2 separate regions of the Mus musculus genome follow, and region 2 is reported to be linked to region 1. Evidence: microRNA targets listed by miRTarBase, many of them from high-throughput screens and not tested one by one. Region 1 holds a microRNA gene; the other region holds the end of a gene's coding sequence.
The links. Region 1 holds the annotated microRNA mmu-miR-1897-3p (UCAACUCGUUCUGUCCGGUGAG, at 7,846-7,867, opposite strand). A microRNA usually pairs through its seed, bases 2 to 8, with sites in the 3' UTR of a target mRNA and lowers its output. Matches are read on the target gene's strand: a 7mer-m8 pairs with bases 2 to 8, a 7mer-A1 pairs with bases 2 to 7 and ends in A, and an 8mer does both.

Region 1 (15,714 bases):
GAAATGAAGGCGAACGGCAGGGGACCTGCAGAGTCTCGGAGAATGCCCTTGTTAACTGGAATTTCTCAGCATTGCTAATTAGCAGAGTTTGACGACCACCAGTATTGGGGGAAAGCTCTGTTTAACCACTCGCCAACCATTCCGAGGAAGAGCAGACTAATTTTATTTTGTAATTAAAATCTGAAAAGGGCCCTATTTGACAGTTAGGGCTATGAGAGTTTTATCTCCCCGAGAAATAATTACTGCCTTGATAACTCAATTTTCTGAAAAATGTCAACTGTGGGTTCCAAAAGTTTTAATTTCATTACATAAGGAAAAGTAGCAAGAAAAATAAGAGAAAATGTACAGAAAGGCTTTCTAATTCTGGAACTGGTTAAATATATTGGGAACCAGCTTTAACCAAACGAAGTGCTCCCCCCACCCCCTTTAAGTTCCTCTTTATGCTAGCTAACCTTCTGAGCATCTCTTCTGACCACAACCATAGCAGGAATCCTTCTGCAGCGAGAAACATTACATTGGAGCCAGGCATTCAAGAGGCAAATCAACAACAACAACAACAACAACAACAAAAACCCCTGAAATACAAAAACTATAGAAAAGTTCATGATTTTAAAAGCAGAGACTATTAAGAGGCTTAGGGAATGGCCCATGCATCTGATGAGGTTCTGTTTGTCTATGCCCCAATACTATAGGAAAACAGAGAATTTATGCTTCCTTCTGCCCTCTGAGTCACAAAAAATGCTGGGTCAATCCACATGGCAGGTGGGGAAACTGCTGAGCCTTCAGAGGGACCAGAGCTTTAAGAGTTAGGAAACACAGATGACGACAGGGAAATGCATTTGGAAGATTTATTTTCCAAATAAATAAGTACATAAAAAATCACATACCTTCCAAAAATAATCAACAAGAAACGTGCTAGAGAAATGAGGATACGGAAAGTTAAGGTAGGAATTAGAAAATGAATCCCTTCGCTGTGAGGTTTCCTCTGACCTAAGTTCCCTTCATTGACCAGACTGTAGGGGCACCTTCATTTTCCTAGTATAACTGAGGAAAATGGCTGTTCTTTCATTGGTGCCTTACTTATCCCGTTTTCTTCCCATGGTCAGTGTTAAACTTGGTAAGTGTGAGAGATGACTGACAGGGTCCATAATCCATGTTTCAAGATGCTACAAAGAGCAACCACAGACTTCTACCCCTTTTTGTTTACCATATGGATACAAGGTACACTGCTAATTTAAAATTGCTCAATCATATTTTTTTCTCCTTGTGTCTCTCCAGGATCTTGCCTTTAATTTTCAGAAGTGGTATTATATGAAACAAATGGACAAGGGGCTGTTGAAGCCTAGACCCAATTTTACCAAATAATTTCCCTCAAGAGCTGCAAGGACCCTTGAAACCTGCGGAATGCAGGGTGGTCTGCCCAGTGACCATTGTGCTCAATTCATTCCACCTCTCACTGATGAAGTAAATGCATTAAAAAAAAAAGAGTTTGGCAGTTAGAAACTTAACATATTTCCCTCTTGCTTTTAAATATATACATATATATATTAAAACTGCCTTTTTGAGTCTTCTGGGCTGTATGTAAAAAAAAATCACATGACTTACAATGGTTCATGTATTCTTAGATCTTTCAGATATTCCAGATCATTAATTTTTTTTTTCTGGGCAAAGGATTCACACTTCACTATTTTTCATTTCCATTTCATGAATTATCAACCCTGAGATTCTGTTTCTACCACTGCTGTTGCTGTCCAGGGGAAATGTAGTTTGCCCTTTAGATGATCTAATTGCTTTAAAGACAGAAATTCCCCTGTTAAAGACAAACCGGAGGCAGGAAGAGCAGCTACTGTTGGTCTTCAATTGCACTTCTGATTCTAAAAATCAGGGGTGTGTGTGTGGGGGGGTGGGGGATCACCAGAGAGTCCAAACACTCCAGAGAGACATTAGTCCTTTTGCACCTCCAAATCAACGCTTGGAAGTCTATGTATACACTTACTTGACAGCCAAATATTTTAGGCAATTCATCCTACCAAAGGCATACACATGTCCTCTTTTGTCCGATGGCCCTGATTGTTTCCCGTAATTTCAAGAAAAAGATGTTTCTTTAAAATTTTTCTAGCTGCAATTACTTTATTTAATTGTGCCATCTAAAAACAAACCCAAGCCCTTCCTTGAGGTTTTTCTGACCCATATTAAGTGACAGCAATGCAGGCCGGTGACATGTGACTGCTGCAGCAAAGTCCAAGGAGCTAGAACACTTAGCCTCGAGCTCTGTCTTTCCTCCGTGACCTCACATAACTTTCTGCTTTGTGTCACTCAAAAGCTTCCTTGCCGGAACCTCTACCCGGTGGCGACGGGACAACAGAAAGTGATAAGCCTCGGAAGGCAAGGGTCTTAGGGATGCCTAAGAGCAGGCCGAAGGAAGGGGGAGATTTGCTTCACTGCACTGGACTGCTTTTCTTTTTTTTTTCTTTTTGCTTTCAGGGAACAGAGGAAAGCTTTCCACCTGTAGCATGACAAGAAGCCAAAGCAAACCTGCGTGGTGAAAGTCACCCACAATCACCACCAGACCTAAAGGAAGCCAAGGCTACTGTGGTTCGTGCTAAAGAGCTGTGAATCGGTATGCTCCCATTTCTGGGCGGGCTGGCATCCTTCAGGCCTTCTGCTGACATCAGGAGGTCGCTTCCAAAAGCTCTTCTAACCTCAAAGGCAATGTCTGAGAACGTCAGCTTTCCCTGAGGCCCACTTCTGCTTGGCCTCAGCATCCCTCCCAGCCCAGGCTCAGAATTGGGCTTCCAAACCCATCCTTACAGAATTCTTAGATCGCTGGCCTGATAATCTTTAAAGCCTTCTTCTTAGCTGGGGCTCTGACTTTTATCTCTCCTCCCACCCTTCTTGGATTTTTGTTGGCGGCCCCCACTCCTTCTTCCTCTCTCACCCCCCCTCCCTTAATTTGGAGATCACTGACACGCTATGCTGTAATGAGTCCTTCAGAAACTGTTATGATCTATGGTGACAGTCTCTACACCTAATTCACAGCTTATTGACAAGCACCGTGGGCTCAATGGTGTCAAGTTGTACTTGTGGTATCTGCACTCTTCAGCAGCCCACGTAGCTGCTGGGCTCTGGTTCTGGAGCCACAGCTTGGCAGTTTATTGAGAGATGATGATCTGTCTGGAGCTCTGCTCCTTTCAGTCTGGTCCGGTTCTTTCCCTGGCTCTTTGTCTGGGACTTAAATTCTAGGAGCTAAAGGTTTTCCAGAAAAAAAAAAAAAAAAAAAAAAAAAAGAAAGAAAGAAAGAACCCCGAACAAGAAGACTAAACTCAATAAACGAAAGCTCATCCTCGAACCTGGATCTTATTAATAAGCCTTGTCCCTGCCCCATCTCCAAATAGCCTGCCCAAGTCCAAACCACACACCCTGCTTCTCAGCGTTTTAAGCTTGGGAGGTAGGGAGGGAGAAAAGAAGGAAGGAAGGGTTGAGGACTTGGCCTGGACTCAGTGGACCTAAGCTAAGTTGGCCCACCCGGCTGGCTGGCTCACAGGATCTCGAAAGACTCACTACTTTACAAAGCAGGGCGCCCAGCCAACCCGCCAGGGCTCAAGCCTGGATGCCGCGGCTACAGACCCAAAGCGCCTGCCACGCCCCTAAAGGGTACAGCGCGGCTGGGGAGATCCGGCGGGATGCCAGCCCCAGGAGGCTCTGCCTTCTTGGAGATCTCAGTCCCTGTTTGGCGGCCTTCCTAGTCTCCAAAGGTGGAGGGGCCTCCTCCCGGCTGGCAGTCCTGTGGCGTGGGATTGGGGCCGGGGCTCAGCCACCTGCGGCTGCAGAATCACAATGCAACCGAGCATGGGTGGCGCGCTCAAGCCTGGCTCACTGCTTTTTGCTCAACCTGGCTGTGCATTCTCCACCGACATGGCTTAGTTGCGGACTTAGTGGGCTGCACGCCTGTCCCCTCTGACCTTTGCCTAGGTTTTCTGTCCGTATGCTGGAGAGAAGACTCCTTCGCCGACAATTCTTCCACACTCCGCAATGGCGGTTGTCTAACCCTTTTGCAGTCCGCTTCCGAGGCAGGACCTGTTCTTGGTTTCTCTACTCTTCTGCTTCGCGAGACAGATGACCGCAGCGCTGGGACCCAGGACGCCCAAGAAGCGTCCCCCAGGCTCCTCGGTGCGCGTGGGGGGTCGCGAGGCTAGTCTCAGGTTGGGATTTCCCTAACCAGGCCTAGCCTCTTCGTGGAAAAAGGGTGGAGGTGCCGAGGCAACGGCTCCTGAATGTCCATCATTTCGACCGACTGTCGGGTAGATTTCTCAAAAATCCCCTCTCGTCCGAGATCCGATCCCGGAATCAGATGAGAGGGCACGTCATCGCGCGGAGCAGCTCCTTTAAAAACCATCTTGGATCCGCTAATCTGGAGCAGGAATAAACACACCCTCAACAGCAGATTTGCAGGGATATGGCATTAAATGTGCAGAATGCTATCCTGTTAGGATATGTTAAGCTAGTTTCTGATGGCAAGCCCTAACCTTGCTGATAAAAGTTAAAACGGCAAACATGTCCCCGAAGTAGGAAATGGCCATTTTGTTCATTTGTTGATTTTTTTTAAATTTTAAACTAAACAAACCAACATTTCCCGCTTTGTTGGGAAGTCAGAGGCTGTGTTCTTTTTGTAGCCGGCCTTTCTGAATCAGTCACAAGGCGGCTACTTTCCCTCCCTCGCTGACAGAAGTTACAACTCTTTCTTACACAGACAGGTTTGGAAGTATTAAATAAAACAAATCAAAACTGTTTCCAGGACAACTTGGAGTCCTAACCAATAAAATGTATCACAGACCAATCTTCCCTGAAATTCTACATTGATATCAAAGTAGAAAAAGACACCTGTTTGGTAGACAATAGCTGTATTTAACCGATTGCCAGGAAGGAAAAGTTTGATCAAGAGTGGTTTGAGGCGAGGGAAGAGGAGGGGAGGTAAATACTTGAAGGAGAGACAGGACTTTTAATTACATTCTGGAATTAATAATCAAATATAAACGAGTTACTTCATCCACTAGACACCCAAGCACTTTATATTTGGAAACCTTGTATCTGAACCGCAGCTGGCGCTTAAGCGAAGCACTCTCTTCGCTTTAGTGTTATTTTATGAAAAGCGGACAAGCGGAAGAAGCATTTTTTTTTTTCTATTTCCCTGTAGTACCATCGCTTAGCCTTTAAAAGAAGACCTCAAACCAAGCCAGGATGCGGGTGGGGGAAACTGGGGTGTAAGGAGGAATGCCGTTTTTTAAATAAATGAAATGGAAAAGAATGTAATCTCTTTGGCTTTTGTTGAAGTATAGTTATCTTTTCGGGGCATAAAAACTTGTTTCCGCACCCCCACTTCCTTTTCTGGGGGCAATAAAGAGTTTTCTTTAACCCCAGGGCAAGGGCTGAAGCGGGTTCGGGAGGGCGCTGTGTATCTCCCACTGCGTCCAATAGGGGGCGCTGGCGTGAGACCGCGGAGTCGCTTCTCTTCTGAGCTGCTCCCGGCCCGACCGCGACAGCCGCTGGCGAGGTCGAGCGTAGAGCTTTCGTCTTTGCGGATAAAAAGAGATTAAAGGCTAAATTCTTTTTGGGTGGTGTGTGTGTGTGTGTGTGTGTGTGTGTGTGTGTGTATGAAGAGAGGGTATCAGTTTTAACCAACTATGAAAATGTAGAGCTTTGATGTTCTTGTAAAGAAACTCCTATGGGTTGTAAAATTATAAGGTTTCTGAGCCAATACGCAGCTACACTGTGTGTGGAAATTATTTAATTAAAAATATATTTTTCATACGTTCATACGTTCCTTTAGAAGTACTTTAAAAGCTGACGCTTATTCTTCTGGCTGGCCTGTTGACCCTGCCACAAGTTTCTAATACTTTTATTTTAGCTGTGTTGAAGGCCCTTCTGTTAATTCGAAGTGGAAAAAAGAGACTCAAATATTTAAATCCCTCACTAAACAGTTACTGGTCTGTTTCCTTCCATACTTTCTTTAAACGCGGCAGTTATGTGATGGACACATTTTACTCTGTTGGCGCCTCAAAGACAGGTATAAATGACAAAAAGGAATTCTAATAGGAAAAACTGGGTGTTGGGCCACATAACCATCGTTAGTACAAGAAGTCTAAATAAAATTGTAACCCCACCCACACCCACCCCAACTTAAAAAAAAAAGAAAACCAACCAACTACCCTTCACCTGTATTTAAATAGCGTGTCTTTAATTACAGCGGCGGGGGTTGCCTGAGGCTGGAATGAAATTAGCAGTCATTACCGTCCTTTAACTCCGTGGTGCTTTGATCAGCACTAGATTAGTTTTGCAGTTCTAACAAAGGCTCTACAGCAAGCAGTGGGCTGTAAATAAGACCGCGCGACCTGCCCTCAACACCTTTTCTCTTGTCAATCATAGCTTTATCATTCAGCCCAAGATTAACCTTTATCTACCAAAATTTTAAATAAAAAAAAGAGGGAAAAGAAGGAGGAGGAGGACGACGACGACGAAGAGGAGGAGAAAGAAGGAAAGGGAGGCCCCTGGCCACTGCACGCCTAGGTGACAGAGGTCCTCAGGAGCCTCCTTGAATTGCGATGATGGGCGGGTGTCAGGATCCTCAGACTGGCCTTCCCAACCACACTTCTCAGGCTGAGAAGCCCCCCTCCCCCCACACTGCTCATCCCCACAGGGCCTCGCTCCACGAATCAAACAGCCAGCCATCCTCAGCTTGGAGGCAATACGCGCGCCAAAAATCACCTGTACTAAGTTTCTGGACGGAAAAATACCTATCTTTTCTACTAAGTGCAGAGCAAAGCAAAGCAAAGCAAAAACAAACCAAATCAACCAACCAACCAACCAAACAAGCGCAACAAAAACCACAGCTTCAGCAGCTACAAAAAAAAAAAAAAAACCTTTGCTGAGCGTGGGATGGCGAAGGTAATGTCGTCCGATTTGTCATTAGAGGGCGCCAGAGAGTAGCCCAGCGCCCTAGCCAGCTTTTCTCAGCCCTCCCAGATCCCAGCCTCGTCAGCCTCTGTATTCCCTCTCAGGTAATATTTCTTGATGATCCTGCCCCCTTGCGTTTCTATCTCCCTCTATTCCAGTTGCATAAAGAATGAGGGTTAGTCATGTCCCCTGTCTCACTTTTTTAAATTCAAGCTCTCTTTCACCCCAATTACAGCACACCCCCACTCCCCCAGTCCCAACAGGGATCGAAGTGAGCCCTTCAGCATCTAAGTCACTGCGGTCTGCACAAGGATCTTAGTAGGAGAGCAATACTAGAATTTAACAGTTTTAAGATGGAAACCCGAAAATTTTCATTATTGGATTTACCTATAGGGACTCACAGACGTTTAGTTTTTGCTTAAAAAGAAACACACACACCCCTTTCATACATACATACAGCACCTTGATTACGTTCAGACCTCAAAACTATCTGCCCCAAAGAGAATAAAATGTCACTTCAATTCTGCATTTGTTAAAGAGATCTTAATTAGCATTTAATTCCCAAACTTAACACCTTCTGACTTAAATCGGCCTGTGTTAAATAACTGCTACACAGGGTGGGTATCCAGCTCTCTTAAAGGTCACACAGACACACACACACACACACACACACACACACACACACACAAAGAGGCAGAATGAGAGGAGAAGAAAGTGAGTGAGTGTGTTGGGGGGTGGGGAGAGGTAGCTAGCCTTGAATGTCAAAGTTGGGTTGCAAGCTACTTACGCGACCATGCCAGATCAGGGTGTTGTCTTGTAGCAGTTTGATTGGCAGGTAAAAAGCACTGAACGTGAAGGCTCCGGAGCCTCTCGTCAGCCCAAGCTGGATCACTCCTCACCGGACAGAACGAGTTGAAGGAGCTCGCACTTCCCCCCTCTTTCTCCATCCAAAGCACGGAGAATCCATTTAGGCTTTTCTTCGACCAGTCTCTCCCATCAGCGTCCTGCCTTCCGCGCACCACCTTACACCAGCCTCCAAGACCTAGTCTAGCTTTGCCTCTGCAATCCCCTGCAACAAGAAAAATCGTTTATGGCTTAAAACCCCAAATGGCTGATTTTTTAAAAGAGAGAGAGAGAGGGAGAGGGAGAGAGAGAGAGGAGAGAGAGAGGGTGAGGGGGAGAGAGAGGGGGAGCGGGAAGAATGCACCCAGAGAACAACAAAAAAGTCAGTTATCCTAACACTGCTCTATCCCCCACCGTACAGAAGAATAAAAAAAAAAAAACAAGCTTTATGTTTTTCAGTGGGTATTCAAAGATAATTTGATGCCATTGTTTCTGCTACAGATGGTTCTTTTAAATACAATAACACGGTTCTTTGTGCAGGCTACTCACAATAAAATCCAAAGCGTTCCCCTGAATAACCATTTTGTTCTCTCTTGTATGGGGCCAACAAAAGATTCCGTGAGGTAATGGGTTCTGTTTATTGAAGCCCATAGAATAGGGGGTTGATAAAGATTTTTTTTTTTTTAAGCAGAAGACCTTGGAAGGTCGGGCTGATCTCTTCATATTTTTTATTAAAATATTTGTCCAATACATTATTCCTTGGTGCAGCTGCAAGCTTCCTCCTCAATTCTTAATCAGCCCAAACATCTGTCTCTGGAAGGCTTTAAAAATCTGCATGCAATTGTATCAGTAGTGCAGTAACCTTATGAAACCCCAAATCTTCAGGCTCACTACAGTCTTGAAGGCAACGCAGTTTCAACTGCCTCTGGGGGAAAGGACGGTTGGGGGGAGAAGAGACAGGCAATCCCAGTTCCAGTAACTTAAGGAAATGTGGCTTTCCTCTTCCCAGGCTGGCGGACCATGCTACCAGATGAATCAGCCACACGTATCTCAACAAGGGCTTCTTCCATCTTGAGATGTGCCTCTTCCATGTGCACAGGAGGGGAGGCATGGCTCCCCTCCACTTCCCCCCCCCCACCCCCCCACTCCAAGCTGGCCTTCCTCTCTGCTAATCTAAAAATCCTAGGCTGGGAGCCTAGGCTGAGAGGAAGCAGTTAAAGGTCTCTAACACCCAGTGAATCCTACTCTTAGCTCTCTTTGATTCATTCCTAGCTACTTGTGACTTTGAAGGGTCCTGGGATCGGACTGATGGCCCACCTCCAGCCGCAGTGCCCCACTCTCAGGGTGGCTCTTCCAGCCATCTGCTCCCTTTCTTTCAGTTGCTTCCTCTCACTTAGGAAACCCAAACATGAAAACTCAAAGAGGGTCCGAATGAACCTTGAGCAGCGCCCCCACAATGGGACAGGAGACACTGCAGGGAAGTGGTGAGTTTGGGGCGGACCTTTCTGGCTACATGGAGAACAGGCTGCTCTTTAGGCCTGCAAGAGCCCAGAGCCACAGACTATACTCTCCTGACTTATGCCGTCAGTGGTGTAACAAAACCTTGGCAGCAAAATCATTTTAGGGCTTATTTCTTAATAATTTAATTTCTAAATTATTTGAGACAGGGTCTCACAAGGCAGCCCCAGTTGGCCTGGGACTCACTACACCAGGCTGGCCTCGTTGCCTCTGCCTCCAGACTGCCGAGATTAAAGGGTGCACCATCATGCCTGGCTTAAATTATTTATCGTATAAATTGTTGAGATAAGCAACCTAATAGAAGTCTGAAAAGAATAAAAATTGTGGCACAACTTTAAAAAGTTAAGCATTTCTCTCTCTCTCTCTCTCTCTCTCTCTCTCTCTCTCTCTCTCTCTCTCTCTCTCTCTCTGTATTTTTGGTACAAAGTAAAAGGTTTCCCAGTGGCCCTGGTTGTCCTGGAGCAAACTCTGTTGACCAGGCTGACCTTGAACTCAGAGATCCTCCTGTCTCTGCCTCCCCAGTGCTGGGATTAAAGGTGAAGTTAAGCATTTCTTAAGACTGGTTGAAAAAAGTGAGCCCCATTTGGTGCTGTAAAGCTCAATCCTAGCATGCATGAGGTCATAGGCTTAATCCCCATTGCTGCCAACAAGAAAAGACCTTGAGCCCGTATGAGTGTGTGTGCAGGGAGGGAGGGATCTTTATGATTGCCTATGGAATGTGTGGGTATTTTCTATTTGGGGCACTGTGGGAGTGTGTGTGGCACCATACAATCAGTAGGAACACTTCCAAGAACTGTGGGGATGAGGAAGGCAAGTGTGACTTGAATGCCCACGTTGTCATAGCAACTGATTCTGGAAAGACCAGAGTGACCATTGTACCTCTCTCCCTATGTTTCCACTATTTAGATTTACAAGGATGTGGTCAAAGTTTCCCCATTTTTTACATGGACTGAAAGAAGACTCAAGCTGATGACCCCTCTCCACTGAGGAAGCTGAGATTAGATCTGTACCATCCCAGCCCTAAGAAGTTTGAAATTAGTTGTCCCTTGTCTCCTGGAAGCAATCAAGAAGGTGTGGCACATGCTTGTTTGTGTTCGTGTGTGTGTGTGTGTGTGTGTGTGTGTGTGTGTGTGAGAGAGAGAGAGAGAGAGAGAGAGAGAGAGAGAGAGAGAGAGAAGAATGTAAGTCACCAAAAATCTAAAAAGGGTTAATGCAAGGGCTTTGCACGCAATAAGAAAAAAGTCCAACACTGAGCTAATTAAGGAAGGGAGAAAATGTTCCAGCAAGTGATGGCTCAAAGCCATTGCAGATAAGAAATCTGCAGTCAGTGGGGAACTACTTATGAAGGAAAGAAGGAAGGAATGAAGGAAGGAAGGAAGGAAGAGGGGAGGGAGGAAGGAAGGGAGAGAGGGAGGGAGGGGGGAGGAAGGAAAGGAAGGAAAGAAGGAAGGAAGGAAGGAAGGAAGGGGGAGGGAGGAAGGAAGGAAGGGAGAGGAGGAGGGGGGAGGGAGGGAGGAAAGGAAGGAAGGAAGGAAGGAAGACGGGAGGGAGGAAGGAAGGGAGAGTGAGAGGGAGGGAGGAAAGAAGGGAGGGGGGGAGCAAGAAGGGTGGAACAGGAAGGAGGAACAGGAAGAGGAAGGAGGGAATGGTAGAAAGGAAGAAGGAAGGGTTTGAGGAGAGGAGGGAGGAAGGAGAGGGACAAAGCTGACTAGTCTTCCGCCCCAACCACTGTCCCCACGCTTGGAGCAAAGAGCCACGAAAAGGTTGCTAGAGGCTTGGGAAGCAGTAGCTGCTCTCCGGGTGTTTAGATGGGCTCTCTGGGACCTAGGCTAAGTGGCACAGGTCTTCCATTGGGAGAATGGGTGAGGTTTCTTCAGAATGGGAGTGGCTAGCCCTCTGCAGGAATCGTTCCGTTCAGTATGAGGAAGGAAAGAGGGAGGGAAGGAGGAGAGAAAGGTGGAGAACCTTGTGATCTAGGAGGCAGCACAGATGGCAGCCAGCTTATAGACAGCTGGCCTGTGAAGCCATCAGCTTCCCTCGGGTTCCAGGAATCTCTGTATCTCCTGCGCAGGAAGGACATGGCGAAGGTGACCTGCTGGCTACTGTGCTGGACTTACCCCCAGCCTGAGGAAGGGCTCCTGGCAAGCCAAGACGGGAAGGGACTAGCCACTTTGGGAGGTCAGCTTTGTTAACATGCCCGGCACTACCGGTCCATGTTCTCTTGGACCTAAACCCAAATGACATGGCCTCCTGCTACTGCTCACTCATAGGTGGCTGGAGGGAGGCTAATGATGTGTGTGTGCGCGCGCGAGCGTGCGTGTGCGTGTGCGTGTGCGTGTGCGCGTGTGCGTATCTGACTACAGGCTCAGACTTTGAAATGACTTTAGAATACTTCTTCTGAGCACACAGTGTGGCCAGACTGGTTTGGGGAGAGGAGCCCTGGGATTCTCCAGGGAGGACTGGGTAACAGTCACCAGGGAGGGACGAGGACCTGGGATGAAAAGTCTTGTTGGTTACCTCAGAGAGGTAGGTCAGCAAATCTGACTTGGAACCAGGAGTGGGCTGTGGGCTGTAAGAAGGCCATTTGCTCAGCGAGGCACACTCTGAGTTTCCTGGTATCAACAGACAACCTGAATCTAAGAAAGGTGAGCTTTCTAACTAAGTGGAGGGTTCAGCCAAAGCCAGGGCTGTTGGGAGACTGCACTGTGGACTCCTTCAGGGATACTTTTCATATAGGAACTGAGATTATACAAACAGCCATATGCTTTATCTGTGTATTTGAAAATATTTCTTTTAGCCAGGTCTAGTGCCTCACGTTTATAATTTCACCCCTCAGGAGAGGGAGAGTGAGGCAGGATCAATCACTGCCTCTTACTCAAGACCATCCTATCTATACAGAAAGTTCCAGCCAGGAACATGGGGGTTGGGGGTGGGCTGTATTTAAAAAACAAAAACAAAAACAAAGAAACAAAAGCAAATATGACAAAAAGGCTGTGGCTATAGCTTGTGGAAGAGAGCTTGCCTAGTGTGTGCAAGACCTTAGGTCCAATCACTAGAATTGTAAATAAAGAAAGGAGTATAAAATAAAACATGAAAAAAAATAAATTAGCTGAACTCATTCTATACACCAATATGATTGACAGTCAGACACACCAATCAATGAACATATTGATCTCTTCCTTATTTTCCACTTTTTTGGATGTTCTTTTGTTCCCTTAAGGATTTTTCCTTTGTTGCCTCAGTATAGCAGGTGAATACGCTACACTGTGTATAGTCTATAATCTTAGTGGTCCTTGTCTATAATCTCAGGACCTGGGACCTGAAGTACTGAGATTGTCAGAATCTGAGGCCAGCCTGGGCTACTGTCTCAAAAGAAAACTATGGAGCTGGTGAAATGGCTCAGTGGGTAAGAGTGCTGACTGCTCTTCTGAAGGTCCTGAGTTCAAATCCCAGCAACCACATGGTGGCTCACAACCATCCATAATGAGATCTGATGTCCTCTTCTGGAGTGTCTAAAGATGGCTACAGTGTACTTACATATAATAAAAAATGTCTTTAAAAAAAAGAAAACTATGAATAAAGAATATTAAGTAAAACATTAAACATTTAAAACATGCTACACATTTTAAGAACTTGTTTCTGTTTCTTTTTTTGTTTTTTTTGTTTTTGTTTTTGTTTTTGTTTTTCGAGACAGGGTTTCTCTGTATAGCCCTGGCTGTCCTGGAACTCTCTTTGTAGACCAGGCTGGCCTCGAACTCAGAAATCTGCCTGCCTCTGCCTCCTGAGTGCTGGGACTAAAGGCGTGTGCCACCACTGCCTGGCTCTAAGTTTCTTAATTCACTTATGTATTAATTCACCTGCATGTTACTCAGAGGCATGGTGGGTTGGAGGGAAAGTAGGGACTGCAGGTTGTGCTACCAGAGTGTTATTGGTACTAACTATGGGAAAGCAAGAGGCTGCTGTGCAGTGTCAGGTGAGTCTTTCTGCATCAATAAAACACTAGTGTTACCTGTTAGACCTCAAGACTCATGCTACTGAAGCCATTTTCAAAAGGCATGTCTTCTAACCGAGTCCCACATATCCTTGGTTTGCTTAAAGCTCCTTTGTAACAGCCTTAAGTTTCTGAGCCCCTTCGTGGCTGGAGAAAGTGCTCAGTGGCTAAGAGCATCGGCTGCTATTCAGAGCACCTGGGCTCAATTTCCAGCACCCACATGGCAGATGGAAGTCAAAACTACAGTTCCCAGGGATCCAACACCTTCTTCTGGCCTCCATGGGTAACAGGCATACATATGGTGCACATACATACATACATACAGGCAAAAACTCAGATGCAAAGTGAAAAAGAAGTAAAATTTTAAAGGAAGAATAAGAGCAACAGGACAAATGCAACCTTCTGCTTCTCCTGCCTGAGGAGCTGGGGTTCTAGGTGTGCACCCCCACAGCTGACTGCATCATGCACCTCTCACATCACCAGATCCAAGTACAAAGCTTGAGCTTCCTTAGCCCAAGTGCTTAGAATTTAACCCCACAATCACAATCAATCACAATCACAATCGCAATCGCAATCACAGACCCAGGGCGCAGAAATGAATGGCACTGGCTTCTTTCCATTCCCCTCTCTCCAGGCACAAGAGCAGGCATTGGCTTGGGGAAACTGACTCACTGGTACTTTGTGGTTGTTGAGATATCATCTCCTACAGTCAAGGCTAGCCTTGAACTTGTATAAAGTTGAGAATGACCATAAACTCAAATCCTCCTGTCTCCCTCTCCCAAGGGCTGGAATTACAGATGTGCACTACCACACTCAGGCTAGCCAGCCTTAGCATTATTAAACTCAGGGTTTTGTGCCTACAGGGCGAGCATTCTACCGATGCAGCCACCTCTTCAGCCACAGCCATGAACGGTAAATATGTTCTTAGAAAGTATTATTGTGGCAGACTCTGACAGAAAAGAAGTGTATTTTTCGGGGGGGGGGTTGTGTAGGAGGAATTAATGACCCAAAGGAACACCTGGGGAGGGTTTCTATTGCTCTCTACCCACAGTACACCCTAAAACTCCCTTCCTCTTTAGAGAATAAACAGCAATCTATTCACTGAAGATGAACATGAGAGGAACTAACCTTGAATCAGGACAGCAGCTACTGTCTCAATTTCTTGCAACAGCATGTGAAGTTGGGATTACCCTAGTTCCCTTTACCTTACAGCATAAAAGGAGATGCTGAGTGAAAGGCCTGTGCTTCTGAGCCGGGCAAGAGACCGGGCTTTCTCACTTGACTCCGAAACGCTGCCTGTTCTTTAGAATTCGGTAGACTGAGGCCAAATGGACTCGAGCAGATACCCTTGATGCTGACCTACCTCTGTGAGCACAGGAGGAAACTGGCTGCACACTCCGGTTCTCGTCTTTCTGTTTTCCTGTAAAACAGACTCCCCTTTGTCCCCATCTCTCACCCCGACCACTTTGCTGTGTTTTGGACACAGCATCTCACTATGCAGCCCAGGTTGGCCTCAAGTTCTCAATCTTCTGCCTCTGCCTCTAGAATTCAGGGTTAGAGCTGAGATACTCCAATAATTCTGCACCGTCTTAAGATCTCTGGTGTACCAGTGTGTCCTCCTGAACTACTTCAGACTTGGGCAAACAGGTGATGTTTTCTTTTTCTTTCCTCCTTCCTCCTTCCTTCCTTCCTTCCTTCCTTCCTTCCTTCCTTCCTTCCTTCCTTTTAGACAGCTTCTCAAATATCCCTTCCTGGCCTCAAACTCTTTCTTTTTTTTTTTTTTTTTTTTTTTTCTTCTCAAGACAGGGTTTCTCTGTATAGCCCTGGCTGTCCTGGAACTCACTCTGTAGACCAGGCTGGCCTCGAACTCAGAAATCTGTTGGCCTCTGCCTCCCAAGTGCTGGGATTAAAGGCGTGCGCCACCACCGCCCGGCTGGCCTCAAACTCTTTATTGAGCTGAAGATGCCTCTGAACTTCTGATTGCCCTGCCTCTATCTCTCTAGGGTTGGGGTGGCAGGCTAGAGTCACCATACCCAGATTATGGAGTGCTGGGTCTCAGACTTAGGGCTTTTGAACTCTGAGAAGCCCCAGTCTTAAAGCTCCTGCCTTAGAAGCCAAAGGTCTGGGAGGGAAATACAGAAATAGCAGGGCATATGGTTGTTAATTAACCTCATTAAGGACTGCAAACTAAAGGATGTTAACATTTGTCTTTTCCCAGAAAGGCAGCAGAGTGTTTCCTTTCTCTGAGCTTACCCCTGCACTCCATAGGTGATAACTTAAATCAAAACTGCCCTTCGAGGTCAGTAGCCCTCATTTTAAGTCAGTGAAATATAAAATAAACATTGTTATTTTAATAGGTACTCTGGAGAGTTTATTTTGTATCTCACATAAAACTAGACATATGTATAGTA
Region 2 (15,714 bases), not on the chromosome of region 1:
ACGACCTCAGAAGATGGAAAGTTCTCCCATGCTCTTGGATTGGCAGGATAAACATAGTAAAAATGGCCATCTTATCAAAAGCAATCTACAGATTCAATGCAATCACCATCAAACTTCCAACTCAGTTCATCACAGAAATAGAAAGAGCAATTATGAAATGTATATGAACTAACAACAACAACAACAAAAAAAAAAAAAAAAAAACCCAGAATAGCAAAAACCATTCTCAACAATAAAAGAACCTGTGGGGAAATCAGCATCCCTCTAGGTACAATGTTGTATTCACAGTCAGGTAAAGGAGGGAAGGAACAGACCTCACCAGGAATTCTGCGCTATAATTTTTATGACCAGTTGTGATCATGGTTCTGTAACACAGTTAACATGTTTATAATTTTAAATTCTTTTGTCATTGCTCTTTATTTTACACTTCCTACTACAAAATAATAATTTTGGGAAAAGATAAAGTTGTAACTTTCATGGTGGTATAAAAAATGAACACTTGTTTAAAAAAAGAAAGAAAGAAAAGAAAAGAAATCAGCATCCCTGACCTCAAGCTGTATTACAGGGCAATAGTGATAAAAACTGCCTGGTACTGGTAAAGGGACGGGAAGGAAGATCAATGGAATAAAATTGAAGACCCAGAAATGAACCCACACTTGATCTCTGTCAAAGGAGCTAAAACCATCCGGTAGGAAAAAAACAAAAACAAAAACAAACAAACAAAAAAAGCCTCAGAAAAAGTGTAGAGACTGAAGAAAAGGTCATCCAGAGATTGCCCGACCTGGGGATCCATCCCATATACAGTCACCAAACACAGATACTATTGTGGATGCCAAGAAGTACTTGCTGACAGGAGTCTGATACAGAGCCTGACAAATACAGAGATCTATGCTCACAGCCAACCATTGAACTGAGCACAGGGTCCCAAATGGAGGAGTTAGAGAAAGGACTGAAGGGGTTGAAGGGGTTAGCAACCCCATAGGAAAAACAACAATATCAACCAACCAGAACCCCCAGAGCTCCCAGAGACTAAACCACCAACCAAAGAGTACACATGGAGCGACTCATGGCTCCAGCTGCATATGTAGCAGAGGATGGCCTTGTGGGACATCAATGGGAGGAGAGGCCTTTGGTCTTGTGAAGGCTTGATGCCCCAGTGTAGGGGAATGCCAGGACCAGGAAGTGGGAGTGGGTGGTTGGGTGTGGGAGCACCCTCATAGAACAGTGGGAGGGAGAATGGGATGGGGGGTTCTGGAGGGGAAACCGAGAAAGGGTAAAACATTTTAAATGTAAATAAAGAACATATCCAATAAAAATAAGCATTAAATCTAAACATATTTCTCAGAATATATGCAAATAATCATGAAAAGAAATCTTAAAAATATTCAATATCACTAATCATAAAGAAAGTGCAAATCACAGTAGAATATCATCTCACCAAGATATGAAGGACAATTATCAAAAAGACAAAAGAGATACTTACCTAGCACAAGATATGCCATGATCATGAAAGCGGATTACCCATAGCAAGGTTTATACATTGCACTCAAAATGTGCTGACTCCCTGGGATTTCTCCTACTGCTGGGAAACTTTATTGCATATTTTATGGTAATGAGGAGACTGATTTTGTGCTCTTCTAATCAGCAGAGGGGAACAAGATTAAAGATAACAAGTGTGTGTGTGTGTGTGTGTGTGTGTGTGTGTGTGTGTAGAGCAAAGGGAACCCTTGCACACCACTGGTTATAAATAAATTAGGACAGCTATTAGGGAAAACAGTGTGAATGTTCTTTTAAAAATGTGTTGGAAATGGAGAGACGTATATGACACTTTGTTATTTGCACAAAAAGTATAGGATTAAATTTTGTGTCTTTTAAAAAATAAATAGCAATAAATGCACATGCATATGCCTGAATAATAATATTTGCATGTTTGAGCATGGAAACCCGGAGAAGACAATTATTCGACTTTTGTTTACTTTTATGTATTTTTCTAGATTTAATAAAAATTAATTAGATTTGCAATTGTAACGGCAGAGAGATTTTTATATTAATTTTTATAATAATTTTTATATTAATAGGAGAGTGGTCGGTATAATTAAAAACAGAACACATTACTCTCCTGTCCGTTTTTGTGTGCGCTCCTCTAACAGACAGTGTGGTGAAACTACTGCCGCGTCTACGCAGAGAATTACAGTAACTCGGTTTTCAGTGATGAGTCAGAGTGCGTGGTGCTGATGCTGCTGCCATTTCATCACCTTTGCGAGCGCAGCATCCATCCCTTCGTTCCCCCAGCGCCTGGGCCTACCTTGCTTCAGGCTACCAGGCCAGTGATGTTCTCGCGGCCGATCTAGAAACGGGTTGATCTGTGCTAAGGCCTTGGTGGGGCGCCCCCTCCCGCCTCCCCAGGCCCGGGCCGAAGAGTCCTGCCAGGCCACTGCCATGGAGGCCATCTGGCTGTACCAGTTCCGGCTCATTGTCATCGGCGATTCCACGGTGGGCAAGTCCTGCCTGATCCGCCGCTTCACCGAGGGCCGCTTTGCTCAGGTTTCAGATCCCACCGTGGGGGTAGATTTTTTCTCCCGTTTGGTGGAGATCGAGCCAGGAAAACGCATCAAGCTCCAGATCTGGGATACAGCGGGTCAAGAGAGGTTCAGGTGGGAGTGCACCACGGGCCCGCGCGAGCAGTGGGAGGGTCTTTGGGGCTTATTCAGTCCCTGGGGAAAGAGGACTTCCCGGTTCTTTTCGCGATGCTGCCAGGGTGACAAACAAGGGTCTGTCTGGGGCTTTTCAAGCCCACTTTGAGCTACCTTTGAGTTCGATGCAGGAAAGAACCGCCCAGGCAGGAGAAGGCCATTCATTATCACATTATTTGAACCACAACTCCATCAATCTGCTTTTGGTAGCTAATAAATAACTTGAAATTGATCACTGTATAATTCATCAAAATCAGACCCTATGATTCATAGTTTAAAAAAATCCAAGTCATTTTAACATAACTGAAAGCTATAGGTAGGTAGATGTATATTGACTTCTTTCTATATATCCGTTTATATTTGTGGGGAAGAAAAGACAGAGGGAGAGACAGAGACACAGAGAGAATGAATATGCCCTAATATAAAGGAAATGGAGACTGATTAATTGACTGTCTTGTAACCATCATACAGTCAGTTGCCAGAGGGTGGAATCATTTCTGAAGAAATAGTATGAGGTTACTCACATAAGAGAATTCCATATAAAGTAAATAGTCAGAGCCCCTGACTTCTTGGAACTTCAGTACTAGCATGGTCAGAAGAAACAGAAACAGAGGCAACACACAAAAGAGTGTTTTGTTGTTTGTATTTATATGCCACTCCCTACTGTACCACTGGGCACATAATCATTCAGCATGTTTATTTTTCTTTCACAATCCTTTGCTCTTCCTTTGTAGTATTTATTTGTAATTTCATGTATGAATACAGAGGAGAGACCGGAGAAGATGAAGCCCAAGTAAAGATAGGAAATGCCCAGAATAGGGAAAAGCATAAATAAAACATAAGTGACAGAAAACAAACTAATAAAAACTTTGTAGAGAACAGTTTGAACTAAAGTAAGGTAGAACAGGAGGAACCAGAGCAAAAGGACTCAGTTCATAAACACTGACTCATTCTCCACTGAACATTAGTTGGACGCAGAAGATACTAGTTAGGTAATTAAGTTGCCTCTAACTTCCCACTTGTACAAAGCTCTGGCAAATACTTTATATAAGTTCTCATGAATAAAGAAAGGTCTCTTATATATGTTTGCTGGGATCTCTGTATGAATGGCTTGTTCATATTTACTATTTATTATGTATTATATAGTATTGATTTGTAGGACTACTTTACAGATTATCCCAACACCAACAGTGGTGGCATAGCCCTATAATTCCAGCCCTCTGAAGGCTGAGGCAAGAGAACGATAAGTAGTTGAAGGCCAGCCTGGACTTCTGTCTAACAAAAAGAACATTAACCCTTTTATGTCATGTATGTTGTGAGCTATTTCCCCAATATGTCATTTGTATTTTTATGTTTTTTTTTAATTTAGGGTCAGTGTCTAGTTCTATATAACTTTACACTATGATTAAAATACTTTGATATCTTCTGTGCTAAATACAAACCACTAATGCATAAATATATTCTAGAGCTTGGATACACTGCTCATTGATTTCTCAAATCAACATTTTCACAAATTGGAGCATTTTCCAATACAATTATCATTCCCCATTAATCTTCAAACATAAAGAAATTATGAATATCCATTTCCCAGGGCTAATATCCCTGGTTCTAGAGACCTGAACTTATTTGTAAGGCCTACCCATATCATCTTCTAGCTTGGGCTGTAATTCCCTAGACATTTCCCCCACATTAACACTGAGCCATTTTCCCATACATTTTCAGCTATTATTTATCATACCCTCTCAAGAAGACAGAAATCCTAAAAATAGATTTCAAAAATTGCAGTAGTCTAAAGCAAGTGATTATATAGGCAAGTTATTCTACATCCTTTCATGAGATTCTACATTCTTAAGCAAAACACATTATATGTTTGTAATAAGGTTCGTCAACTCAAGAAACTAAAATATGTGATGTTTCTTCTGTTTAAGAAGTACAATAAATGTACAAGTAGGCTAAAATAACCTAATTACATGATTCAAAATAATAATATAACTTCATTGGAACACTTTCACTATTTTGGCAGATTCTCCCAGCTAGTGCCTCCTCAGTCAGCCTCTTTGAATTTTGTCAGTGAATACAGATGGAAGGATTTTCTCCAGAACAATATTAAATATGTTGTTTTATTTTATGTGTATAGAGTTTTGCCTACATATATGTTTGTGAACCACATGAGTGGCTGGTGACTATGCAGGTCAAGAGAGGATGTCAGATCCTCAGAAGCTGGAATTAAAGACAGTTGTGAGCTGCCATGTGTGTGCTGGAAATTAAGTTCAGGTCCTCTGGGAGAGCAAATAGCGCTCTTAACTACTGCACCATTTCTCTAGCCCTGCCTCAGAACATTTTACCATCCCCATTTTCCCATTCTCATTCCCAAGTGGCTTAGGAAATACAAAGCAAGATTGTCTTTTTCCTCACAGAAGAGATTGATTGATGACCCCTGCTAGAAAAAAATAGCAATAACGGGAACAAACAAACACAAAACAGGTTAATGATAAATAGAAAAATGAAATATTTTGCAAGATATTTTCAGGGGTTATCAATTATAATAAATTCAAGGGAAAATACCTGAAAGTTCACGAGCATTCTTAACATTTTACTCAGTTGAAAACTTGTCATTATTGTTATAGACTGCATTTGTATTTACTAAAGGACTGTCAGGAATCAGGAACACTAGAATACACTGAGTTCGTTGGAGTGAAGGAGTTTGAGCACGAACTTTATTCTTTACTTCTTTCTTGTGTTTTAGATCCATCACTCGCGCCTACTACAGGAATTCAGTAGGTGGTCTTCTCTTATTTGACATTACCAACCGCAGGTCCTTCCAGAATGTCCATGAGTGGTTAGAAGAGACCAAAGTACACGTTCAGCCCTACCAAATTGTATTTGTTCTGGTGGGTCACAAGTGTGACCTGGATACACAGAGGCAAGTGACTCGCCACGAGGCCGAGAAACTGGCTGCTGCATACGGCATGAAGTACATTGAGACGTCAGCCCGAGATGCCATTAATGTGGAGAAAGCCTTCACAGACCTGACAAGAGACATATATGAGCTGGTTAAAAGGGGGGAGATTACAATCCAGGAGGGTTGGGAAGGGGTGAAGAGTGGATTTGTACCAAATGTTGTTCATTCTTCAGAAGAGGTTATCAAATCAGAGAGGAGATGTTTGTGCTAGTTAACCCTTCCATTTTCAAAACATACTCTCCCACTTGAACTTAAAAGTTATCAAAATAAATAGAATCCTTATGTGACTGAAGAGAACTCAACGTTTGGATAATAAATGAGCCTTCTTCCTAGGCCTGGATCTCTGACAGGCTCATGTGTGGGTAGATAGGGAGCCTGGGTGCTGTGACTGAGGGACTAAATTGCTGACAGGGGCTGGACCAGACCTTGTTTTGTGGGCCAGGCTCAGCAATGGCTGCTCTGTGTGCCCTTTGTGGACCACATATTAAGGGTCTGGGTATTTGAAAGTTAGGTTCCAGGAAAACACCTACAGACAGATAAACAGTTCCTTGGTATTACAACTTTTCAGACATGGTGACCATAAAGAAACATATAGAAAGAAATCAAGTATCAATTGGGGACAATTAAGATAACTGAAAAAAAAAAGAGTATGATATCAACTTATTCAATGATAATACCGTGCCAGATGTGTGCTGGGTTTTATACAAACACATCAAGCCACTTCTAACAGTTCAACTGTAAAATGAAAAGCCCATATGAATCAACTATTTGGTAAAGCTCTTTCAAGGTCTAGCATTCTAGTAAAACTGCTGTGAATATGAAAAGGGAAGTCATTCACATATTGTTGTTATCACATTTGAGAAAAGTGTACACTGGCATGATAAAGTTGCCAACTATGTGAAAGAAATTCTTCCATGTAAAATGATCATGTAAGGAGAAAAAGGAAACACTGTAACTCAAAGGCCACATTATTTCCCCTCTAATCATACCTGGACTTTCACTGCATCAGGGAACCATAATCCCGAAGTAAGTATACTGCTTGCTTCTTCAGATACCTGACAACGACAACACAGAGATTGTCAACAAACAAAAACCCTAAGTCAAGCCCTTGGTCATTGGTTCTATTCTGAGTATTGGCTCAACACGTAGTCTTGGAATCCTTAAAAATTATTCATATTAATTTATTTCACTCATTTGATCACCATAATAGGACTGTGAGATTTTTGATCCCATTTTACATAATAAGAAAGCAAGAACCAAGCCTACCTGATACCTAGCTTTTTTCACTGGATCATTATTCATATGAATAAGTGATTAATTTATTAACCTTTGGAGACATGTGACTATAAATAAATATTCTCTACATGATAGAATATGTTTTCCTTGTTTTACAGCTCAGCTATAATCTTGCAGGAATCTAGAAATGAATAAAAGGTAAAGGCCACTCAGGTATTATTGACAAGAGGGCATTAAATAAGGGATTAACTGCACAACTGAAAACACATTAAAACTGTATGGGTTATAAATGTTCTTCTCACAAACACTATGAATATTTTATTAAAAGGAACCAAATACAACAATGGGGAGTGGGTTGGGGATAAAGTACTCACCTCACAATGACCTTGACTACCTGTCTGCTATGTACCTACATTGGGCTCCTGTCTACCCGAGAGAGTCAGCTCTTAATTCTCAGGTGAACAGACAGCTAACCACATCAGCAAATTAGAATGGCTGAGATGAAAAATTCATTATCTTCTTAAAAAGAAGTGATGCTTTAAATTTCTTTTTGGATTGTAGCCAGTTCAGCTAGGCAAAAGCCATACTTTTGACAGTAAGAAAACTATTCTGATTAGAGTCAAGTTTCTCATATATACATTGTGGTAGAAAGAATGGCAAATTATATTTGCAATATCCTGTTCGAGTTCAGAATGAATATGTGTGAATCTGGGAATTTGTTTCAGCTAAAATAACCCAAATAATAAAAATTATGAAAGGTTGTTTAGCCACCTTTGCTCCAACTTGTATAAACAAGTCATTTTGGACCAATTCACATTATCAATTGCAGATAAATGATCATTCATTCTATAATCATTTCACGTATTTTAAATTGCCAGATTCTTGGTTGTAGAAGGCAAATACAACCTTTTTTGTGGGTTAACACAAAATTTCAACAATGATACACATGTCTAGATTGTTCTAAAACCCAGGATTATCCAGTGGATAAATAAGAGTTGATTAGACTCTTGTTGACTCAAGGGGGCAGGGGTAGAAATAAAACAGGTCTACAGTTTTCTTGACGAAAATACATTATATACTTTGCCATTCCTGGCTTTTAAAAGTGGGTTTCAAAGTACCCAGCATAAATGCAGCAGAGGTGGCTGAACTTGACTTCTTCCATAAGTTTTAAAAAAATCTCAAAAATCCTTTTAGTAGAATTCAGTGCTGTTGTCACTGCAATAAGTGGGTTTTAGACAATAAATGTGAAAAAATCAGGTGTTCATAAAATACTAAGGATAATGCATTAGAAGCTATTTTACTACATAGGTAAAGAAAAGATTAACTGTAACAACGATCACAACTGCATGTTGGATTAGATTGTCTTATATTCCAGAACAAAATGTACTGTATACTTTGCCTCAATTTGTTGTACACTGTAATGAAATGTGAAAAATTCTTTATTTAGCTGTATGTGAATGAAAATATGCTTGTATTTAGTAAAATGGTTGATCATGTGACTGAGAGATTCCATATGTGTGTTGTAGCTATTTCTAGAATGTGTCCCTTCATTGTTGCAAACAAGGATACCAGTAAGATACCAATCCCATACTGTAGCGTATACCAATTGGATATGACATACCTTGCATAAACATAGTCAAAAGTATCTGAAAGCCAAAAAGAGGACACAATTTTAAAGATATATGGTTTTCATGTTGAAAATCACAGAAATATTATTATTCATTTTCAGCCCAAACCACTATGTAAAAAGTTGGTTGTGTGAAGCCTAAAACTTAAGCATTGTAATTTTTAATCAAGATTTATAATTCTGTCACCAGGCAAGTAGTTAATTATAACTACTGTCTTCACTGGAATGTCTTTTCCAAGCTAAATTCCCTTGGGTGTTTTGTTTTGTTTGTTGGTTGGTTGGTTGTTGTGTTTTTCAAATCTGACTGTGGCATACTATCATGTGAGGACATGGGACCCAGACTGGAATGCAGTCATCAAATACACTTTCCAAGGTGGATAGTGCACATCTGAAAGAAATATAAAAGAAATTCTGAATCTAGGCATACACAGACTAATCTCAGTACTGCCTTATCATTTTTGCAGGCTTAAGTAAATTAAGGGGAGGAGTAAGAAAAGAAGAAAGAGAAATTAACTATGAAGCTGCATTTCATAGAGCTTTCCACACCTTTAAATTTTATCTAGGCTTAAACTTATCGTTTCTTTATTTATATTAATTCCCTTGGTGACCCCAGCCATTCGTTGGTTTTAAAAATTATCTGTGAGCCAGTAAGCCCTGGACTGATATGTTGAGCTCATCTATTACCCATGGACTCCAGACTTTCATAACCAACTACTTACCTGTCATTTCAATTTGATTGTCCATTAGAATGACAAATTTAACATGTCCTGAATTTAATCAAGCTCCTAAAGGTAATGTTAACTTTCTCCAAAGCATTCCTGCCTAAAAGCTTAAAGTCATTCTTCTTTCCTTCTCTTTCTTACTCCACATTTGATCTATCTGAAAATTATGTTGGCAGAAGAATAAGACAAGAATTTAACAGCTTTTTAACACCTTTAATGTGTTAATGCTGCTGTTGTCCACTGTCACTTATCACCTGAATTATTGTGATAAAACTGGTCTCCCTACAGTCATTCTTGCTACCCCTTCCCTACCAGTCTATTATCCATACAGCCCAAGGGAGTCTGATAATACATGAGTTAAAACAGTCACCTACTCATAATATTCCTGTGCTTATCAATTTCATTCAGCTTAAAACACAAAATCCTTCCAATAGTCTACAGAAGAACCCTAAAATGAATTCCATCCTGCCACCTCTGCGACCTCATTTCTTACATCTGATTTCTTGTTCATCTCAGTTTCCTTTCTTGTTCTTTATTTTAATTTTATATATACGTGTGTGTGTGTGTGTGTGTGTGTGTGTGTGTGTGTGTGTGTGTGTGTGTGTGTGTTCTGTTCCTCAGAAGCCAAATGTCTACAGACAACATGCACCTAGAATTACAGGCAGTTAAGACCCACAAGATAGGGGGACTGAATTCAGGCCCTCTACAAGAGCAGTATGTTTTCTTAATCTCTCCAGCTCTTCCTTTTTTGTTCTTCAAACATGCCAAGAGTTTTCCCACCTCAGGGCTTTTGTTAATGCTCTACCCTTGCTCCTAATTCTTTTCTGAGATAGCTTTATGGATTGCTTTTCAAATCCATCAAGTTATAGGGTCAGAAGCTTCCAAAATCTTTGAATAGCTAACAGATACTAGGGAACACATTCCTCCAAACATCACTGCTGATAGACAGACCAAGGCCCTGTTCTTTAACCTTGCCTGAGGAACAACAAAGATTCTGGGATGCCTAAAAGGGGGAAAAAAAACTAGAGAACTGGTTCTCAACCTGTGGTCGAAAACCATTTGGGGGTTGAATGATTCACAGGGTTGCATATCAGATATCCTACATACCACATATTTACATTACAGTTCATAACAATAGTAAAATTTCAGTTATGAAGTAGCAATGAAAATAATTTTATGGTTGGGGGGGGTGTCACCAAAACATAAAGAACTGTATTAAAAGGTCAGGGGCATTAGGAAGGTTGAGAACCACTGGCATAAAAGGAGATCATGGAAATCCTGGAGATATATTTCACAGAAAAGGAGTAGGTGGTAATGTCATAATGCAGCAGTGGGTTTAGGTAAACAATGAAATAAATTGTAGTCATAGGATTTGTTGGTAGAACGGCTTCTGCATTCACTAAGCTTCTCCGGAAGTTGTGTGGAAAGACACAATACTGTTCCTCTACTCTTCAAAATCTCTCCTTACCAGACAATCCAATCCACTCCCATAATTTCAACTACTCTCTGCTTTGCAAAGTAATTCAGGCCATCTTTTAAGCATCAAACCAATGTAGTTAATTTGCTTAAGACACACAGATATAAATTCCTCAAACTCAGAACTATTTTTCTCCATCATCATTGCTATCACCATTGTCCAAGCTATTATTGACTCTGAACTACTTCAATTATCTTACCCTTCTCCCTACTTCTTATTCACATATCCATGACACATTCCCAAAATGTGTAGAGTTATCATACCATAACAGATCAAGTCATTCTTCACCCAAATTAGAATTTACCCATGCTTTCTCATCACATTTGAACAAAATTGAAAAAAATCTTACATTTCTTGGCATAACTACAAGGCTTTCCATCATCTGATCTGTCTGGCTGTGAGTTATATAAAAATAATAATCATACTTTCTTCACCAATGACCTTGACCCCTCCTGATCACACACACATGATTCTATTCTGTAGCCTCTGGAATTCTCTGATTACAAGATCTGTTTGTCACTGTCTCCCATAAGGCCTGTTTAAACTTTTGTTACAACTTTAGGCAATCAACCATGGCCCACTACTAATTTATCAATATTCTCTTCCTTTTTCTTGGCTCTTGTAGTCAACTGCATTTAATTACCAATTCCTAAAGAAAGTGTTTTTGTTTATTTCATTACAGATCTTCTCTTCCAAGACAAATATAAGTTCAAATTCTGACTCTACCAGAAATTAAGTGCAACTCAATATCTCTGAGTCCCCTTTCACACATATATTTCACACATCATATACTGAATGATGGTATTTAGCTCATAAAGTTGTGGTAAGGATGAGATGAGACAATCCATATAAAAAAGCACTTAGTCATAATAGTCATAAGATGATAGAAATTATATTTGCACATAAATGAATCTCTTGTACAAATGGTATCATGTAACACATTGTTCTGTTAATTTTTTCTTATACAGTAAATTTTCTATAACTGCATGAGGGCAGATTCTGTGTCTTTGCTAATTACTAACTACAGTCAATCAGTGCATGTACATATTTATTGAATGTGATCAAAAGAAGAGTTAGTTAGAACATGGCAGAGCAGAGACTCAAGAAAACTGGGTCCTTGACAATATAATTGAATCATAGATTTCCCTACACTGGAGACAACCTTTATTAAGATTCTTTGAAATATTAGATAATAATCTCACTTTGATTTATGCATTTCTTCACCTCTCCTACATGAAAGTCTCCTAAAAGGTACAATAACATTCCACTGTATGAACATGTGATATTTTATTTAATCAAGTCTTATAAAATATATGCATATATATCTAATTTATGTACCTAATTAAGTCAAGTTAAAAATCTTACAAATGAAATTTATGAATCAAATATCATGCTTATTTAAATTTTTATATGTCATTAAATTGTTCTATAGGAATGTTTTACTGAAAATCCATGAACAATGTATGGTAATGTCTACATTCAGTATTATATAATTTTTAACTCTTTGCAGGCTGGAGAGGTTAATAATATATCAACATTTTAGTTTTTAGTGAGAGATGGGTGACATAGGGTCTCTCTCTGTAGCCTAAGCTGCTCTGAAACTCACTATATAATATAGACTGACCTCAAACTCATGGAAATGCTCCTGCTTCACCACAATATTTTTAAATGTGTATATCTTTAATTATTGACTTTCTATGCTTGGAGTTAAAAGTAGTCATAACTAATGAAGAGTGCTGAGCTTTTTATCATTCATCAGTAAGACAAATTTGTACATGGAAATTTCTTCTGTGCTCTTCATATATGGCAAAAAAAAATCCTGACTTTTTTTCTAAATTCTGGTATTTGGTAATACAGAAGTCTCTAATATTTAGCAGTAAGATCTATTATCTGTAAGAAACTGGAAACAACTTTTCCCTCAGAATTGATAAACCAAGTAGCTAGAAAATACGCTGGGAGGAAAAATTATTTTCCATTCAATAAATGTTTTTATCTTTTAATTTTAAAGTTTTTGTAAAGAGTTTTGCTTTTTAAATTTGTGTGTGTGTGTGTGTGTGTGTGCACTCACATGCAATGTACTTATATTTATGTACATTTATGCTAGTACCTATGGAAGCCAAGAGAGGGTATTAGATCCCCTGGAGCTGGAGCTATATGCTGCTGTGAATCACCTGGTATGAGACGGGGGAACTGAACTCCAGTCCTCTGAAAGCAAGTGATCTTAACCAGTGAACCATCTCTCTAGCCATCCCCTCCCTTTGATTTTTGTAATTTATGTAAATTTCTTATACTGTATGTTATATTGATATTTTGTAGCAATAATGTTAGGTGCAGACAGGCCTTCTCTGCCTAAAACCTACAAAACATCTGTATCTTTATAATAGATTTCAGGTTCCATCAGGAATCATCATATCTAGTCATTGATCTATTTTTCTACTCCTAGACTAATATTACATTGTTCTAGTTTGGTTAATTCAATCAGACTTTAAAAATTACCTTTTATCTCAAATTTGTCTTTGCTACTTTTATACAGGATTTGAGAATTTGAGAATAAATGTGTCAACTTTTCCCTGAGTTAGGGTTGGAATTTCTTTCTTTCTTTCTTTTTGAAGGATTTATTTATTTATTTTATGTATATGAGCATACTGTCTCTATCTTCAGACACACCAGAAGAGGATGTCAGCTTCCCATTACAGATGGTTGTGAGCCACTATGTGGTTGTTATCCACTGAGCCATTTCTCAAGCCCAGGGGTTGGGATTTTTATTGAAACTAATTTCACTCAGGAACAATGATCCATGGAAGACACACCCATCTTTACAAATTTTGCATAATAAATCATCTTAATGCTTTGTGCTCATTAGTAACTTTTTATTGTTTTCTCATGTTTAGCCATATTCTGTTTATTGCAAGAATTTTTTATTTACTTTGAAGTAGGTTGCATACATTAATTATACTGGCTCCAACTATTCTAACTGATCATTTCTAACATGTAGGAAATTTGTGAATTTGTTAAAATTTAATAGCTTATAAGAAAATCCTTGCTAAACTCTATTATTCAACTAATTTTTAATGGGTTTCTTCTACTTGTTAGACAGAAATTATAATCCATATGTTTTTTCTTTCTCTAATATTTTCCTCTCAGTTTTTTTCTTATTTACACTGACTAAAATTGAATTTGATAACTGTTGAGGTTTGATCTTGCTATGTATTGTAATGCTAAGTACAAGCCCCCAAGACCTGGATTCTGCATGTTGACTTATGACCCTGCCCCCCAGTTATTTCTGATTGGTAAATAAAGATGCCAACAACCAATAGCTGGGCAGAGGAGTCATAGGTGGGGTTTAGGATTTCTGGGCTTGGGTTCAGGGGAGAACAAGGAGGAGGAAGGGGTAGGAGAGTAGGAAGGAGAAGCTTCCATGGGTTAGGAATCAAGAGAAGATGGCCCTGAAGGCTGGCCAGTTGGAGTTAAGAGCAGTCCAGATGAAACATAAGTAATAACTTGAGGTTATCTATAGGAAAGTAGATTCTAATCACATAGAGAGTAGTATCTGCCCAGCTGTTTAAGGCTAATTGTAAATATAAAGGCTGAGTGTAGTGTTTTTATCTGTGAACTAAATGGTAAAAGGCAGGGTAGAAACCCCAGGTTGGTATTAACTAATACTATATAAATTTTACCATATTGCTAGTCTACTAAGTATTTGGAGGAAGACTTTATGCTTAAGTTTTCAATTGTTTTTCTGGTATTCACTGAGAGAATCAAATGACATTCAACCATTAACCTGTCAACACAATTATTTCAGTAAAGCTGCTCATGTTAAAACATATTTCTTCACATTATTATGCTAAACTCTTCTTAAATCACAATGTATTTTTAAAATACTGCTTGATTTTATCCACTAATATTTAGGATATTTACACTTGTATTCATGTTTGTGACTGGTTCATAACAATATTTCCAGATTGTAATCCATGGTGATTAAAAGAAATCTGGTGGTAGGAGGCATTACAAGTAAGTATATTTGACAAGCCACAGATTAAACAGAGTGAATAGTATTTTGTAAGACTATACTATTATATATCGAGGTTCCCTATCTGGAGATAATTTTATTGAGCATCTCCTCAACCTCTGTAGCAAAAAAGCTACATTTTATATAATATCAATTTTCAATAATAAGAGGATGTTTTGTTTTTCACATATATTCATTCTCTTTCCTGGAGTAGGACTACAGGTCTCTTATGAGATCAGCTTAGCTGTTCCCCAACTAGCTGGTTTTTTAGCAGCAACATGGATTCTGAAGTTAAAGAGCAAGGCCACTTTTGAGTTGGAGTGGGCAAGTGGCCAATAGGATCGGGAATGACTACCAGAGCATTATGTAGCCTATAAATGTATATATTCTCATGAATAAATTTATATATATATATGTATATGTATATATATATATATATATATATATATATATATATATATATATACTTTGAAAATCATCTACTTCAAGTAAATTTTCAAATATGGTACTTTGTGTAATTAAAAAATGTATGAGTAGATAGAAATTTTTCATATTGTTCATTTGTATTTTTATTATTCAACATTGTTAAAGGTTTACTTATTTTTAACTAATATTATCAAAGAACCAGATCTTGGTCATAACACTTTTGCTTTTTCTGAATTATAATCTATTTTTATGTTATTTATATAAACTCATTATTTGTTTTTTCATGTAAATAAGTATTTCTGTGGTTCTTTATATACCAAGCATTTTTTATTATACTCCATACACTTAAATATAATGTATTCATATCATGCAATTATGATTATTTAAATCTTCTAGGTCCTTTGTGGGTTATGATTACATATCAGTTCGGCTTTCAAAGCCACTTAGCTGTTCCCTGTGCTGGCCCACAATCAGGTACCCAATCTGGGAACTGGATTGTGGTCTATCTTTTGGTTTAGTTCTCAGAATCTAGAAATAGAGTTAAGTTTTTATAGTGCAGATA

Region 2: miRTarBase lists Rab39b as a target of mmu-miR-1897-3p. Seed matches in the 3' UTR shown: 7mer-A1 at 7,884-7,890.

What each region holds. Positions count from the first base shown.
Region 1 is chr3:34,630,664-34,646,377 of GRCm38, reverse strand. It overlaps Mir1897 (microRNA 1897), which reads right to left and starts at 7,914; the gene lies at 7,836-7,914. Sox2ot (SOX2 overlapping transcript (non-protein coding)) reads right to left here. Exons shown (of 5, transcript NR_015580.2): 3 at 7,739-8,020. RefSeq lists enhancers at 1-22, 1-95, 1-201, 1-293, 1-448.
Region 2 is chrX:75,564,733-75,580,446 of GRCm38, reverse strand. It overlaps Rab39b (RAB39B, member RAS oncogene family), which reads left to right and starts at 2,216. Exons shown (of 2, transcript NM_175122.6): 1 at 2,216-2,654; 2 at 5,440-8,402. The coding sequence starts at 2,440. The coding sequence ends at 5,866. Gm39522 (a long non-coding RNA gene) reads left to right here and starts at 15,236. Exons shown (of 3, transcript XR_878129.2): 1 at 15,236-15,714. Gm25421 (a small nuclear RNA gene) reads left to right here and starts at 1,476; the gene lies at 1,476-1,639.